2 linked regions of the Elephas maximus indicus genome follow. The protein of the gene in region 1 interacts with the protein of each later gene in a pairwise test. Links are inferred from orthologs where the notes say so. Each region holds a gene or a part of one and is shown on either strand. Other genes may lie near its edges.

Evidence for each region.
Region 2: the proteins of PCBD1 (region 1) and TFF3 interact in binary tests that used the Homo sapiens proteins (3 or more experiments, as listed by UniProt). The two-hybrid records come from large-scale screens. The link is inferred for Elephas maximus indicus from reciprocal best matches to the Homo sapiens genes PCBD1 and TFF3.

What each region holds. Positions count from the first base shown.
Region 1 is NC_064834.1:16,846,093-16,853,562, forward strand, and holds the start of PCBD1 (pterin-4-alpha-carbinolamine dehydratase), read left to right. Parts: upstream 1-4,453; 5' UTR 4,454-4,581; coding exon 4,582-4,584; intron 4,585-5,557; exon of another isoform or gene 5,558-5,779; intron 5,780-7,470. UniProt on the Homo sapiens protein: Involved in tetrahydrobiopterin biosynthesis. Seems to both prevent the formation of 7-pterins and accelerate the formation of quinonoid-BH2. Coactivator for HNF1A-dependent transcription.
Region 2 is NC_064820.1:226,085,134-226,092,536, reverse strand, and holds the start of TFF3 (trefoil factor 3), read left to right. Parts: upstream 1-4,401; 5' UTR 4,402-4,421; coding exon 4,422-4,503; intron 4,504-6,136; coding exon 6,137-6,283; intron 6,284-7,403. UniProt on the Homo sapiens protein: Involved in the maintenance and repair of the intestinal mucosa. Promotes the mobility of epithelial cells in healing processes (motogen).

The sequences.
Region 1 (7,470 bases):
ACATGTGGCCTCTCCATGTGACCTGGGCATCTCACCACATGATGGATGGTGAAGCACAGTGAGCTTCTCTTATATATGGTCTTTCTGGCTTTGGGTTTATAATTCCACCAAAATGATTGGCTAGACCAAACTCTTGCAAAGGGATTGGTCAGTTTACTATGCAAATTCAGTGACTGTGGTCTACTGAGGGGACTGGTCAGTTCATGGTCTGGCTGGGAGGGACGTGCCTTGAAACTGAATATAAGAGCCAATCCCACAGAGGTTGGGGGGGACCTCACTACCATCAAGACATCAAGAAAAGCCTGGAGTGGAGCATGTTCTTTGGACCTGGGGTCCCTGCACCGAGAATGTGCTAGACACAGCATAGAGAGAGCTGTAATACTGAAGACAGTGTGAGATGAGGGGAGCTGGCAGCAAGCACAGCACAGCCCAGCAGCAGCGGTACCAGCGGGAACCAGGAGACCAGCACAAGGCGGTTGCAGTGTGCTTGACCACCCACTGAGTGAGAGGGAGCTGTAAGCCTTCAGGCAGGGGACTTGCTGGTGGAGCAGGGTATCTCCAGGCACTTGTTGGCAGAGCTAAAGAACTGTAACACTTGCCCACGCAGGACGGAGGCACAGAGAATGGACTTTGTACAGGCACAATCGAGAAGAATCTGAGCTATCTTGGCTGGAAGCTATCCTGATTACAGAACCATATCCTGTTTCCTGAGTTGTATCCTGTTACTTCCAATTTGATCCTGACCCCGAGTTGCAGCCTGTTATTTCCCAGACCGCATAATCATGAGTATGGTCTGTGAGTTCTATGTGGCCACTGTAATGAATTATGGAACCCTGCAGAGAAATAAAGGGTGCAGGGGCGGGGGTGGGGGTTGACGGCTGGTGTCAGAAATGGTGAAAAAGTTGGAGAGTGGAGGTATGTCTGACCTCCACTTCACAGGAACCAGCTTTGTGCTGACCTTGATTCTCATCTCTCCTCTTGAAGTTAGACGGCTTCTGATAGTTAGGTTACACATGGGTTCTGACAAGGAGCAGCTCAAAAGTGAGAATTCCAGGAGACAAAGCAGAATTGATAAGGTTTCTTTTGATTAAACACAGAAATCACATAGTGACACTTCTACCACATTTAAGTAGTTATACGGGCAGCCCAGATCCAGTATGGGAGAGAGCCACTCAGGGTGTGAATACTGGGAGTCAAGGCTCACTGGACAGCCATCTTTGAAAACAAGCTAACATAAAAAAAAAAAAAAACATACTAACTTACAAAAGGGAATCTTCATATGGTGGTCTTAAATTAGGTCCCTAGCTGGTACAAACAGTTTGCGCTCAACTGTTATCCTAAAGGTTGGTGGTTCGAACCCACCCAGCGATACCATGGAAGAAAAGTTCCAGAAATCTGATTCCGTTAAGATTAAAGTCAAGAAAACCCCATGGAGCAGTTCTCTTCAGTAACGCACGGTGCTACGAGTCAGAATAGACTCAATGGCAACCAGTGATGACAACAGGTCTTAAATTTATCTAACTGTAAAGTTAAGGGAAGAAAAGGTAGAAGAATATTTTTGTGACAGGAGTGGGAAAGGACTTATCGAATAAAGCTTCAAAAGCACAAAATCACAGGGCAGAGGAAAAAAAAGATGGATCATATTATATCACAATACAATATTTCTGGCAACGAAGGAAATCATGGAGAAGTTAGCATACAGATGGCAGGATTGAGGAGATACCTGCAGTATCTAAAACTGAGAGGCAATTAATGTCTAAATATAAACTCCCACAAATCAACTAAAAAAAGAGAGCATTCTACATTTTTTTAAATGGGCAAAGATATTAAAAAGCAATTTACAAACAGTAACCCTCAATACTAACAAGCTTATGAAGAGGTGCTCAAAATCATTCGTAATCAGAAAGGTGCAAAGTAAAACAGCGAGCTATCATTTTATACCTATTAGCCTGGCAAAAATTAAAATGCTGGATAATACCAAGTGTGAGTATGTTTGCATGAGGAACGTAGGGAAATAGGAACCCTCACACACTGCAGGTGAGAAGAAGGACTGGTACAGCCATCTGGACAGCATATGAAACTATTCTGGGATATATGTACCCATAAGAGGAACTGCTGGATTTATAGAGATGTATATATATCTAAGTCGTCTAAGAAACACTCTCACAGGCCAGGTAGCTATTAAAGGAGGATGTCCACTGCAGCATCATTTCTTGGTTGTTTTACTTAGTATGTGTGTGTGCATGTATTCAAGGCCTTGGGTAGTAGCAGTGATAATGGCAGACCGTTGGGGGCCAAGCTGAGTGTCCATCACTGGTAGAATAATACACAATGGTGGATTCTCACTATGGAATACTAAGCACCAGTTAGAAGCCACAGATTAAGTACACATAGAGCAGCATGAATGAATCTTAATTTTCCACTAAGCATTCTGTTTTGTAATGAACAGATTGATATATGTAATGCAATACCATTTACATAAATTGAAAATACATACAGATGAAACAATATGCATTTTGCAAGGATATGTACAACAAAAACACACATTAACACATAAGAAAGGTTGCTACTGGGGGCAGAGGAATAACAGTACAAGGATAAAAAGCTAATAGAAAAAAAAGTTAAATATTAGAGGATTTATATTACCCAACTTCAAGACATAATAAAGCAACAGTAATCAGACAGTGTGGTATTGACGTCAAGATAGACAAATAGATCAATGAAACAGAATAGACAGCCCAGAAATAAACTCACATATAAAGGGTTAACTGACTTTTTTACAAAGGTACAAAGGCAACTCAGTGGAGAAACAATTGGATATTGATATACAAAAAGTGAATTTGGGTCCTTAACTCCCAGCATATAAAAAAATTAACTCAAAATGGATCATACACCTAAATGTAAAACTGAAAACTATAAAACTTCTAGAAGAAAACATAGGAGAAATGTGACCTTAGGTTAGGCAAAGATTTTTTAGCAACACCACCAAAATAGCAATTCACAAAAGAAACATTTGACAAATTGAAGTTTATCCGATAAAATTAAGAACTTTTGCTCTTTGAAAGACACTGTAAGAAAATGCAAACAAAATATTTGCAAACCATATATCTGATGAAGTTCTCGTATCCCAAATAAAATACTCTCAAAATTCAAAAAGGAAACAATCCAGGTTTTTGTTTTTTTTTTTAATGGGCGGGAAATTTGAACAGGCAATTCACCAAAGATTTACCTATGGCAAATAAGCACAGGAAAAGATGTTCAATATCATTAGTCCTTAAGGAAACTCAAAACCACTAGACACTAATTAGAGTGGCTAAAATGAAAGGAACAGACCATAGGAAGTGTTGACAAGGATGTGGAGGAACTGGAACTCTCCTATGCTGCTGCTGAGAATGTAAAATGATAGAACCACCTTGGAAAATAGCTTGGCAGTTTCCTAAAAAATTACAAACAGACCTAGTCACAATTCCACTCCTAGATATTTAGCCAAGAGAAATGAAAGCATATACCCATACAATGACTTGTACACAAATGGTCAGAGCAGCTTGACTTGTAATAGCCCCAAACTGGAAACAATCCAAATGTCCATCAACAGATGAATGGATAAACAAATTGTAGCATATCCATAGCATGTAATACTATAAAATAATTTTTAAAAATTATTTACAATAAAAAGGAACTATTGACACATGCTGGCTTTCTGAATGGTGCAAATAGCTTGCACTTGACTACTAACTGTTGGAATCCACCCAGCGTTGCCCAGGAAGCCCTAAGATTACAGCCACTGAAAACCCTATGGAGCACACGGGGTTTCCACGAGTCGACTTGACCGTAATAGGGTACTGAAAGATGCAACAACATGGACGAGCCTCAAAACAATTATGCTGAGTGAAAGAAGTCGGACCAAAAGAGAGAGAGAGAGATTATATACTGTATGATTCCATTCACGTAAAATTATAGAATATAGAAAATACAAATTAATCTACAATGACGGAAAGTAGATCAGTCGATGCAGGTGCGGGAAGAAAGGGCCTACAAAGCGGCAGGAGGAACTTTTAGGGATGATGGATATGTTCATAGTTTGATTGTGCTGATGGCTTGACGGTGGCATACATACCTCAAAACTTCTCAAATTGTGCCCTTTGAATATGCGCAGTTTAACGTATGTCACTTACACCTCAAAGTGCTTGTAAAACGGAAAAGGCGAGGTCATCCTGTGTCTAGGATCACGCAGCTGCTAAGCGGCAGAGCACGGTTCAGACGCAGAAGTCTGCGTTTGAAGCCCGGGTTACCACTCCCCAAACTCCTTGGAGCAACCGCACCGACGGCGGCGCTAAGAGGAAAGGCAGGCGCTGCAGGGACGCCGAGCCCCGGCGGGTGCGCCGCTGTGAGCGTTAATCATTACCTGGGTCGGCCGCTCCGGCGCGAACGGAAAGGCGGGCCGCGGGCTCCACCCCGGTCGGGGGCGGGCCGGGGACGGCCCGAGCGGGTTCCGCCCGGCCGCTCGCCTAGTGCGCCTGGCCGCGGCGCTCGCCTCTCGGCCGGCCGCCTGCTGCCTGCCCGCGTCCAGCGCGCTCCGACATGGTGAGGGAGGGCAGGGCGGGCCGCGGGAGGCCGGCCGCCGGGGCTCGGAGGAGAGGAGGGGGGCAGCCGGTCCTGGCCCAGGCCCGCCGCGAGGCCGGGAGCCGAGGGGCCCCGGGAGCGGAGGGGCCCCGGCAGCCGAGGGGCCCCGGGAGCGGCCGGACCCGCCGCTCTCCGCGCTGCGAGGGTCGGCATTTCCGGGTCTCGGAGCGGCCGCCTGGAGTTCACGCCCCGCTCCCAGCTCCTGGGGGTGCACGAGGGGAAGCTGAGGCTCCCAGAGGGGCGGTGCAGGGCCGGGTAACCGCGAGCGGGAGCCCAGGCCTGGCTCTGACTTCCAGGCCAGGGCTCGCTCCGCGCCGCGGTGCTGGGGCGGGGCTGTGGGAGCAGGGAACGGGTGAGGCGAGGCGTCCTAGGGAGCCAGCAGTTGTCGTCCCCGTTAGTGGCACGTTTCTGTTCTCTTCTGGGGGGAGACTGAATTTGTGTGTGCTTGTGCGTGCGTGTGTACTGCCCCTTCTCGATTGCGCTTCTGACCTCACCTGGGTACAGCGTCTGTCTGGGACCAAGGCCCATCAGTGGAGGCATGATGGCCCAGGACCATTTAGTCCGGGCTGAGCTGTCCGCCAGGAGGGTCTGGGCCCTTGACTCAGCGTCAGCACTCCCACCCTCAGCCAGGGAGGTGACGGTGAGCCTGTGGGGGCATCAAGGAAGCTTTACTAGACACAGCCTATTTCGGCCCCAACACATTCGGGGCAGTGAGGACTGCGGTGACAACAGGGAGGGCCTTTTGAAAACTGTGGCTTGGGGGTGGGTTTGGGGGGCAGTGAGTAAGGCTGTTGTGAACTGCAGGAGGCCCCAGACACAGGGGGCGGGTAATCAGTATCCCTCTGCACACCCGCTTAGGCTGGAGGCAGAGTTCAGGCCTGACGGTGAATTTACTAATCAAACATGGCCCCTTCCCCCTCCCTGATCCCACAGGCTGTGGGCTTTGGGGGGTTCCAGAAGACTCTGAGGAGAGAGGGCGTTCTCCCAGGAACTCATCAGTCCCACCCACCCCTCTCAGAGCCAAAGGAGTGAACAGTGGATTTGGGTGCCTGGGCTGACTTCCGGCCATCTGGTTGCCTGGATACATGGACCAGGCTTATTAGCACTGAGAAGGGCAAGCTCCGGAATAGAGAGAAGGTTGCGTGGATGACGCCGAGTAAGCACTGCCATCTCGGTAACCACTGAAGAGGAGGAGAGGGGCCAGATCAGATCAGTTTGGCGAGGGAGGGGGGACACCAGTCTTCAGGAGAGAGGAAAAGATTGATCTATCAGTGCCTGGCAGTGCCCCTCCAGGCCTACCCAAACCCTGCCAGGCCCATTGCCAGCCCACTTAACCCAAGAAGTCTTTAGGAAATGCAGTAACAGTGCACTTTATCAAATTGTCCTGTTAACTCCTCGTGCTGATCTGTGAAGTGGAAGTTTTTGTCCGTATTTTCCGCACGAGTCCAAGAGAGGTGAAGTGCCACATGGCCGACAAATGGCAGAACTGGGGCTTGAACCTCTCCTGCCAGTTCAGCCCAGGGCTGTCAGGCTGAGGGTTGCAGACCACTTAACACCCCTCACATTCTCTCTCCAGACTTAGTGATTTTTTTCAGTTTAGTACTTTATCAGTTTCTGCCCTTGGGTGATTCTCTCTCTGGATTCTACATTCTGGGATCCCTTAAGCTCCTAGACCTAGACAGTAGAACTGACCTTTGCTTCATTTATTCTCTGAGGGGTCAACTCCTGGCCTGAATGGTGCCAGTCTGAGCCACCTGAGGGCACTTTGCACAATAGGTACATATGACAGGACCTGGGGTTCCAGGGCCATCTGTGATGGTGCCCATAGCCTCACGTCACCCCTCAGCATCCCATTACCCACCTGCCATACCCCACGCTCCAGGACCCAGGCCTGCAGTCAGCAACCAGCTGCTCCAGACTGTGTCCCATGCCTAAGGCTCTTCCCCCTCTGAGTAGCATGGCTCACCACCCCGTCAGTGTAGAGGGCAACTTCTTATCTTGGCTGAGCTTAAGAACTCCTTCCTCTAGGAAGCTGGTCCTGGTTTTCCTCTGGCCTCCCCACAGCATAATTGAACACTGCCTCCTTGAAGTCCCCACAGTCTTGCAGACAGACACTGGGGAGCCAGGCTGTGTGGGTAGGGGTTTATCTTGGCCTTTGGCCAAATGACTTCCATTTCGGGTCTGAACTCTGTGGCCCGGGCTTCAGAAGCTGCCAGAATAAAAAAAAAAGAAAAAACCCGTTGCCCTCAAGTTGATTCCGACTCATAGCAACCCTGTAGGACAGAGAAGAACTGCCCCATAGAGTTTCCAAGGAGCTCCTGGTGGATTCAAACTGCTGACCTTTTGGTTAGCAACTATAGCACTTAACCGCTACACCACCAGGTTATTCCCAGAATAGAAAAAAAATAAAAAAAAGAAGATGGAAAATCTGAGAAACTGAAGCCCAGCAGCTTCGGACTAGAAGCTGCGAGGTGAGAGTGACAGAGAACCTACTAGATATAGTGCCAGTGGTTGTCAACTGCAGTGTGCTAAGAATCACCTGGGAAACTTGTTTGAAATGGCAGTTCCTTCACCAGGCCCCCAGGAATGCCAATTCAGTGGTCAGGAGCAGGACCTAGGAATCTGCATATTTCTGCTGCAAGTGGTCCACAGACCACCCTGAGAACACTGCCTGCGCTGTCACTGACTAGGGGTAGGGGTGGAGGGAACAGCAGACAAGCCATTTCCCCTCCCTAGGCCTCAGTTTCCTTTTCAATATACCTAACAATGAGTAATAGCCGGGCCATGGGGGTGAACTAGAAAAGAAAGATAATAGAAAGGAAAGCTGGAGAGTTGGGGGTACTCTTT
Region 2 (7,403 bases), on another chromosome or scaffold:
CATGCTTTTCCTGGGAAGAGAGTTGCAGCTGTGGCATTTGGGACCTCACAGCCTGCTTTTTGAGCCCCTCCAGGAGACTCCCTTCCCCCAGGTACCAGCTCATGAAGCCTAAGGTGGGAGGGTTTTCAAGGCTAGGTTCCTGGGTAGTCCATGCTCACAGCTGGGAGATTGCTGGAGAGACGCCTTGCTCAGGGGGAGGAAGGAGCCTGTGTTTGCTCACCCCAGATCTCAGGGCACCTACACAGCCACCTGTCGGATGGGGCCCGAGGTCCAATACTCCTCAGGCCTCCAGCTTTACTTCCTCCCTGGAGCTTCAGTTCCCCCAGGAGAGCAGGAAGGCCAGGAAGGCTCCAGACTTTGGGCCCCTGAAGGCAGGGCTGTCCTTACCCCTGGTTTCTGCTGCTGGTGACTGGCAGGGCCTGGGCCCCTGATAAGGCCTCACTGGAACCTAAAAGACTGAACACACAGACAGGAAGAAAAACAAATTGTTGCCATTGAGTTGACTCCAACTCATGGCAACCGCATGTGCGTCAGAGTAGAACTGGGCTCCAGAGAGTTTTCATGGCTGATTTTTTGGAAGTAGACCTCCAGGCCTTTCTTCTGAGGTATCTCTGGATGGACTCAAACCCCCAACCTTTCAGTTAGCAGCTGAGTGCTTAACCGTTGGTACCACCCAGGGACTGCTGCACCCATGAACACTTACTCACTTGCCTCAGTCTCCAAAAGCCCAGCTCGAGCACCTTTCCTCTACGAATCCTGTGCTGTTTCCACCTGGTGGGGTTCATCTCCATCCTCCCCACGCCCACCGTGTGTTAGTCTGCCAGAGCCGTGTGTGGTGTGTCAGTGACGCTGTCTCTGTCTTCGCTGTCACCCCTGTCCTGACAAGTGGTCGGTGTGTGTCTCCAGCCCACCCTGGCTCCAGAGATCTCACCACAGTCCTGTGGGGAGGGACTAGTCCACAGGCAAGGAAACTGAGGCACAGGCAGGTGATGATGTGACTTGCCCAAGGGCATGCAGTCCAGGGCTTGGAACCAAGTCTCCCAGTATCATGATCGCAGTTATGACATGACACTGTCTCCGCTGCTGTGGCTTTGAGGACAGGAGTGTGTCACCTCTGTTATTCCTTCCCCAGCCCCAAGCTCCAGGCATTGCCAAGTAGGTGCTCAGTCAACATATCCTGAGTTACCAGAAGCATACACCGGGGCAGTGGCCCTCAGGCTGGGTGGGCAATGGGCTGGGCCCCCCTTCAGGGACTCTGAGGTACCTGGCCTCAGAACCAGGTGTTCCAGCTCTCCTGGTGACTCTAAGCAGTGGGCGCAGGGGGAAGGGACACCGCTCCTGGAGACATTCTCTGCTTCGCAGCCTGAAAACAACCTTCCACCTGCTCCCCCGACAACAAGGGCTGTAGGTGCACCAGCCGGTTTCTGGTACTGATGTTTTCCTGGGACCAGGTCCAGGCCCACCTGTTGCCTGGCCTCTGAGTATTGAGGGACGGGGATGGCAGGGGTCTGGTAAGAAAAAGCACCCAGGAAATCTCCCCTGTGAGGATCTTTCTAATAACATAAAACCATGTTAGATCTTAGCCTCAGTTCACTATCTTCCCTTGGGGACAAAGAAAATGCCCGAAAACAGCGCAGAAATCACTCTTCCTTTCTTCTCTACTTCACTTGCCCTAAGAGGAGTGGTGAACCAGGTGGTGAGTGTTGACTCATATCAATTCACGGAAGGCTTACCGAGTGTCAGGGGTGGGCGTGGATCTCTGAGTACTTACCGGGTGCCAGGGTAGGCGTGGGTCCCTGAGGACTTATTGAGTGTCAGAGGTGGGTGTGGGTCCCCGAGGGTTTAGTAAGTGCCAGGGTAGGCGTGAGTCCCTGAGGACTTATTGAGTGTCAGAGGTGGGTGTGGGTCCCCGAGGGCTTACTTAGTGTCAGGGGTGGGCGTGGGTCCCCGAGGGCTTACTGAGTGCTGGGGGCAGGCGTGGCTCCCTGAGTACTTACTGAGTGTCAGGGGCAGGCATGGCTCCCTAAGGGCTTACTGAGTGTGAGGGCAGACACAGGCTACATGAGGTGGGACATGTCCCTGTTCCCGAAGCATTTACAGTCTGGCTCCCAACCATCATTCAGTGAAGGACGGCTCTGTGGTCCAACCTGGGTAGCTCAGATTCTCCCCACTCCCCTACAATGTACCAGGAGTCTAAGCAGGAGCTGCCAGGTGCTCCAGTTCCTGGGATGATGTACAAAACCTACCTGGGGGATTTTCCAGTGAGGTTCCCGGAGGAGTCCCTGAGCAACCTGATTAAGCGAATACAGAGAAACCTGTGAGAGCCAGAACTCGACGGGACTGCCTTGTTTTCTTCCAGGACTCAAAAGGCTTCTGCCTCTGACAGGGTTCAATTAACCACTTTTCTATCTCTCTGCATTAATGGAAAATATTCTAGGTTTCCTTTTCTGACAGGTTTCTACCTTAGACAGGTTCTGCCTTTCGCAGGTTTCCTGCACATAGGTAAGAGTCCCCAAGCAGTAGAGAAACACAGAGAACACAATGATAACTAGGGTTCCACAGTTTCCTGGGAATGAGGTCCCCCGTTCTGCCCAGTGCGTAGGTGGTACAGGACTATGAACAGAAAGAGTTAAGACAGAAGAGAGTTGAATCCCAACTCTTATGAATCTACTGGGTAAACTTAAATTTTGAGCCTCAGTTTCTCCCTTCAGAAAATGGGTATAATTATTTCCGTCTCATCTAGATATGCCGCTGGGAAACAATTTCCAATATAGATATGCAATTTAAAAATGCAAATTAGGGGAAGGTGTATAGTAAGGTTCCATTTGTGTTAAAAATGTACCTAAACAAACAAACAAAAAATTGCCATTGTCTCGATTCCAACCCATAGTGACCCTATAATGACCCTACAGGTTTCCAAGGAGCGAATGGTGAATTCGAACTGCTGACCTTTTGGTTGACAGCTGAGCTCTTAACCGCTGTGCCACCAGGGCTCCAAAAATGTACCCGAATCTAGATAAAAGATTTCTGGAAGGCTAGCTAAGATGGTGGTAAAAATGGATATCTCTGGACAGGGGGTCTTTTGAACTGTTGGATTTACAAAAACCAAGTGGGTGTGTTATACTTTAATTAAAATGTACCTAATAAGTTTATTTTTTAGAGTCCCTGGGTGGTACAAATAGTTAATGCACACAGCAGCTGACCGAAAGGTTGGTGGTTCAAGTCTTCCCAGAGGTGCCTCAGAAGACAGGCCTGGTGATCTACTTCTGCTGAATCACCCGCTGAAAACCCTGTGGGGCACAGTTCTGCTCTGACACACACGAGGCTGCCAGGGGTAGGGAGTCAACGGGGTGCCAACTGGTGTTAATAAGTTTATTTAATACATTTATTAAGATACGGTTAAGAACATAAATAATTTTTTCTGGAAAAAAGAAAAAAGAGGAATTTCTGCCTTTGTCTTAGTCATTTAGTGCTGCTATAACAGAAATGCCACGAGTGGATGGCTTAACAAAGAGAAATTTATTCTCTCATAGTCAAGTAGGCTACGAGTCCAAATTCAGGGCTTCAGCTCCAGGAGAAGACCTTCTCTCTCTGTTGGCTCTGGAGGAAGGTCCTTTTCGTCAGTCTTCCCTCGGTCTGGGAGCATCTCAGTGCAGGAACCTCAGGTCCAAAGGACGTGCTCTGCTCCTGGCACTGCTTTCTTGGCGGCATGAGGTTCCCATGTCTCTCTGCTCGCTTCTCTCTTTTATATCTCAAAAGAGATCGGCTTAAGACACTACTAATGTCATAGACCTCATCAGTGTATATAATAGTATTTATATATAAAACTGCCGCTACTTCATCTTCTTACATCATAGTGATGGGATTTACAACACATAGGAAAATCTCATAGGATGACAAAATGGTAGACAATCATACAAGGGAATCAAGACCTAGCCAAGTTGACAGATATTTTGGGGGGACACAAGTCAATCCATGACAGCCTTCTAAGTGTTGTAAGAGAGAAATGAAATCCCACGTACCCAGCCTGCGGACATGTAGTTGTTGCTTTTCAAGTATCAGAGACTGAACTGGCCTTAAGTGACTGTGGGAGCTCTTGTTGTTGAATACGGAATGTCTCAGCACCTGTCGACTGCACGCTCCAGCCCCAAGTGGAGCCCTTATCATCTTCTCCCCGTCTTCCAGGTGGTGGTTGACACAGAGAGGCGTGATAACCCTGCAGGGAGTGAAATCTTGCCCAATCTTTCTGTCCTTCTGGAGACTTTAAAATCCAGTGTAAGAGCCAAGTAGGCGGAGCCGGAGGCCACAGGAGGAAACCCACCAGCAAACACCACTGGAGCCTGTGCAAACACAGGGGTATAAAGGTGTCTCAGGGCAGGTGTGCGCAGTCTCCTCAGCTTTGGTCCTGAGCCTGCGGCACCATGGAGGCCCGAGCGCTCTGGCTGCTAGCCATGGTCCTGGCCTTGGGGTTTTACAGATCAGCTGGAGAGTATATCGGCCTGTGTGAGTACCGCCTCTGGAAAGAGGGTCGCTGATGGGCATGGGGGACGTACAGTGAAGGAAAAAGACATGCAGAAACTCTAGGCTCAGGGGGCTTTCCGTGGCTTGAGAGCCAGGAGGATGCCCTCATTTAATGATGATCATTGTGAGATCTGCACGTTTTCCCACCATGAACTTACAGAGAGGGTCTTACTGTCCCATTTTGCAGACAAGGAAACTAAGGCTCAGGGAAGATTCAGAACTTACCTAAGGCAGCCCTCCCAGTCAGTGTCGCAGCCAGCCCCCAGTGGTCCCTCCCTGCCCACTATTCCAAGGCCTTTTTTGCCAAGGGTTTCTGCAGTGCAATCCATCTTTGGGCATCCTTTGAGCACATTTACAAAAAAGAAAGAAAGACAAGTGAAAATGATTATTTCTGGAACATTTTCAAAGCCTACATGAGAAATTAGAAGAAAGAACAGTTTTCATTGAGCACTTGCACTGAACTCCAGGTGGAGGTGTGGCTGTCCCCTTACCCAAGTTTGATGAGATTATGGTGTGGCTTTATCCAGTTATCACTGAGCAGGACCACAGGTAGTTGTCCCTAACTTAAGAATCACCTGAGAATTTTGAAAAATCCCAATGCTTAAGCCACAGTAGATGGATTACACCAGAATGTTTTGGTGGGAGCCAGACAGGGGTGGTGTTATGAAAGATTCACGAGTGGTCCAATGTGCAACCCAGTTTGGGAACACACCGGCATAAGAAATTCTGAACTGCAGCAATAGAAGATTTAAGAGATTTCGTGGGATTTCTGTTTTCCTGAAGGAAAACCCAGTGAGTTGATGAGATGAAGTGAACTTTGCTGAACACACGGGTGTATTAGACTTACCTGAAAAGTGAATATTGGAGGCTGAAAGTTGTATGGAGAAGCTGTGAGAAGCTGAACAATCTGGGGATGGGAGAACGGACAGGAGAAGTTAACCAGGCTCAGCATACTTGGTGATGTTCTCTAGCGAGTGTATAAATATTTGTCATAAAAAAGTCAGGGCAAGTTCTGTTTGGTAGAGCAGTGAAAGGAAACTTTGTTTCCTGGTTCAGGGGACCCCAGGTTTGCACAAGCCCCTCCCAGCTGGAGGGTACCCAGGCTGTATCTGATTTCCTGAGAAAGTGATATGGAACACGTTGAGTGAGACAGTCACTAGGCAACTTGCCAGACTTCCTGGGTCACTGAGGCTGCTGAACTTAGCATTCACAGATACTTTCCTTTAACCATTTACATGGTCCCTGGGTGGCGCAAAAGTTTTGTGCTCAGCAACTACCAAAAGATTCGTGGCTTGCACTTACCTAGTGGTGCTGTGGAAGAAAGGCCTATGAACTACTTCTGTAAAGATTAAAGCCAAGAAAACCCTGTGGAGCACAATTCTACTCTGTCACACAAGGGGTCACCATGAGTCAGAACGGACTTGATGGCCATGGGCTTGGTTTATTTACAGGGAAAGACAATATTGAGGGGCAGAAGGTATCACCATCATTTGAACTCAGGGCTGGTGGGTGGTGGGAGAGAGATGGTGGAAAGTGGAAAGTGGCAAAAGGGAGGGAACAAAGCAACCCAAACTTGTAAGTACTCCGGACACTGACTGGGCTTTGTCTGGAGCAGCGGCGAACCAGTGTGCTGTTCCGGCCAAGGATAGGGTGGACTGCGGCTACCCCCAGGTCACCCCAGAGCAGTGCAACAGCAGAGGCTGTTGCTTCGACTCCAGCATCCGTGGTGTGCCCTGGTGCTTCAAGCCTCTCCAGGAAACAGGTGAGCCCTGAGGACAGATGACTGCGCCTGGTCCTTGGGCAGCCCCATGCAGTGCCATGCCCAAGGGCAGCCTCTTCCTTTCTGGGCCCTGAGGTGATAAAGCGAGGTCTCTGGGAAGCTGTGTGCATTTGGTCCCCCAGGAGGACCTCCAGCACTGTTGCCGTCTGCTGGAGGAGGCTCATGTCGAAGGCTTGATGCGCAGGGCAGCCAGTGGCCAGCGACTGCCCCCTTCTCTCCCCTTACTCCATAAGCAATTATTTTAAACAGGTGCTCAAAGTTAAGGCATTAAGTTGATGGAAATAATTTAAAAACAATTCTAGAGAGAAACAGGAAATATGTAGACTTGGAAAGCTGGGCTGTCTTCTAAGGCCATTTCAAGCAAAGAAATTAACCCAGAGCCCCTTGGCATTTGTGGTGGACTCATGTCATCAGATAGCAGACAGAGGCAGTGCTGGGCAGGAGCCCCCCCTACCCCCATGGGCTGGGCCATATAGTGGGGTGACTGGTTAACACTGGGGAGCAGTGATCTCCCCAGTATGCATCTGTCCAGGGCCTCTTGCTCAGAATGGCCCACACTTGGTCCAAAGCACTGCTGCTGCCACCTTGAAATTCTTAACAATTTTTTCCCCATTCTACGTTGGGCTCCCGAAACTATGTCGCTGATTCTGGTCTTGCCCACCAAGCCAGGCGCAGAGCCTCGGTGAGCTGCGGCCAGGCAGTCTGCAGGTACCTCTGATGGTGCCTTCCTTTCCCTGGCTTTATCCCCAGGGCCCCTACACACCTTTCCGCCACCCTCGCCCACTCTGTCCCCTACTCATTCCCTTCCTTTTCCCCTTTCTCCCCCTCCATCCCTCAGCTGGTTGTGCAGTGGGCTACGGGGCAGTCATCCTGGGGACCCCTCCCTGGGCAGTCATGTACCTGTGCAAACAACAGATGGCCCAGCATGGGTGGTTCGCCGCCCTGGTGTCAACCAGGCCCGCCCACCTCATCTGGGGCTTGGGGCTGTAAGCCATCTGGCGTGTCTCAGTGACAGCTCACCTTCTAGGATACGCCTCATGCCCACATGTCCCAGGATCCCAGCTGGTCCTGACTCCTTAGGCACTGGTCAGGGAGGTCCCGC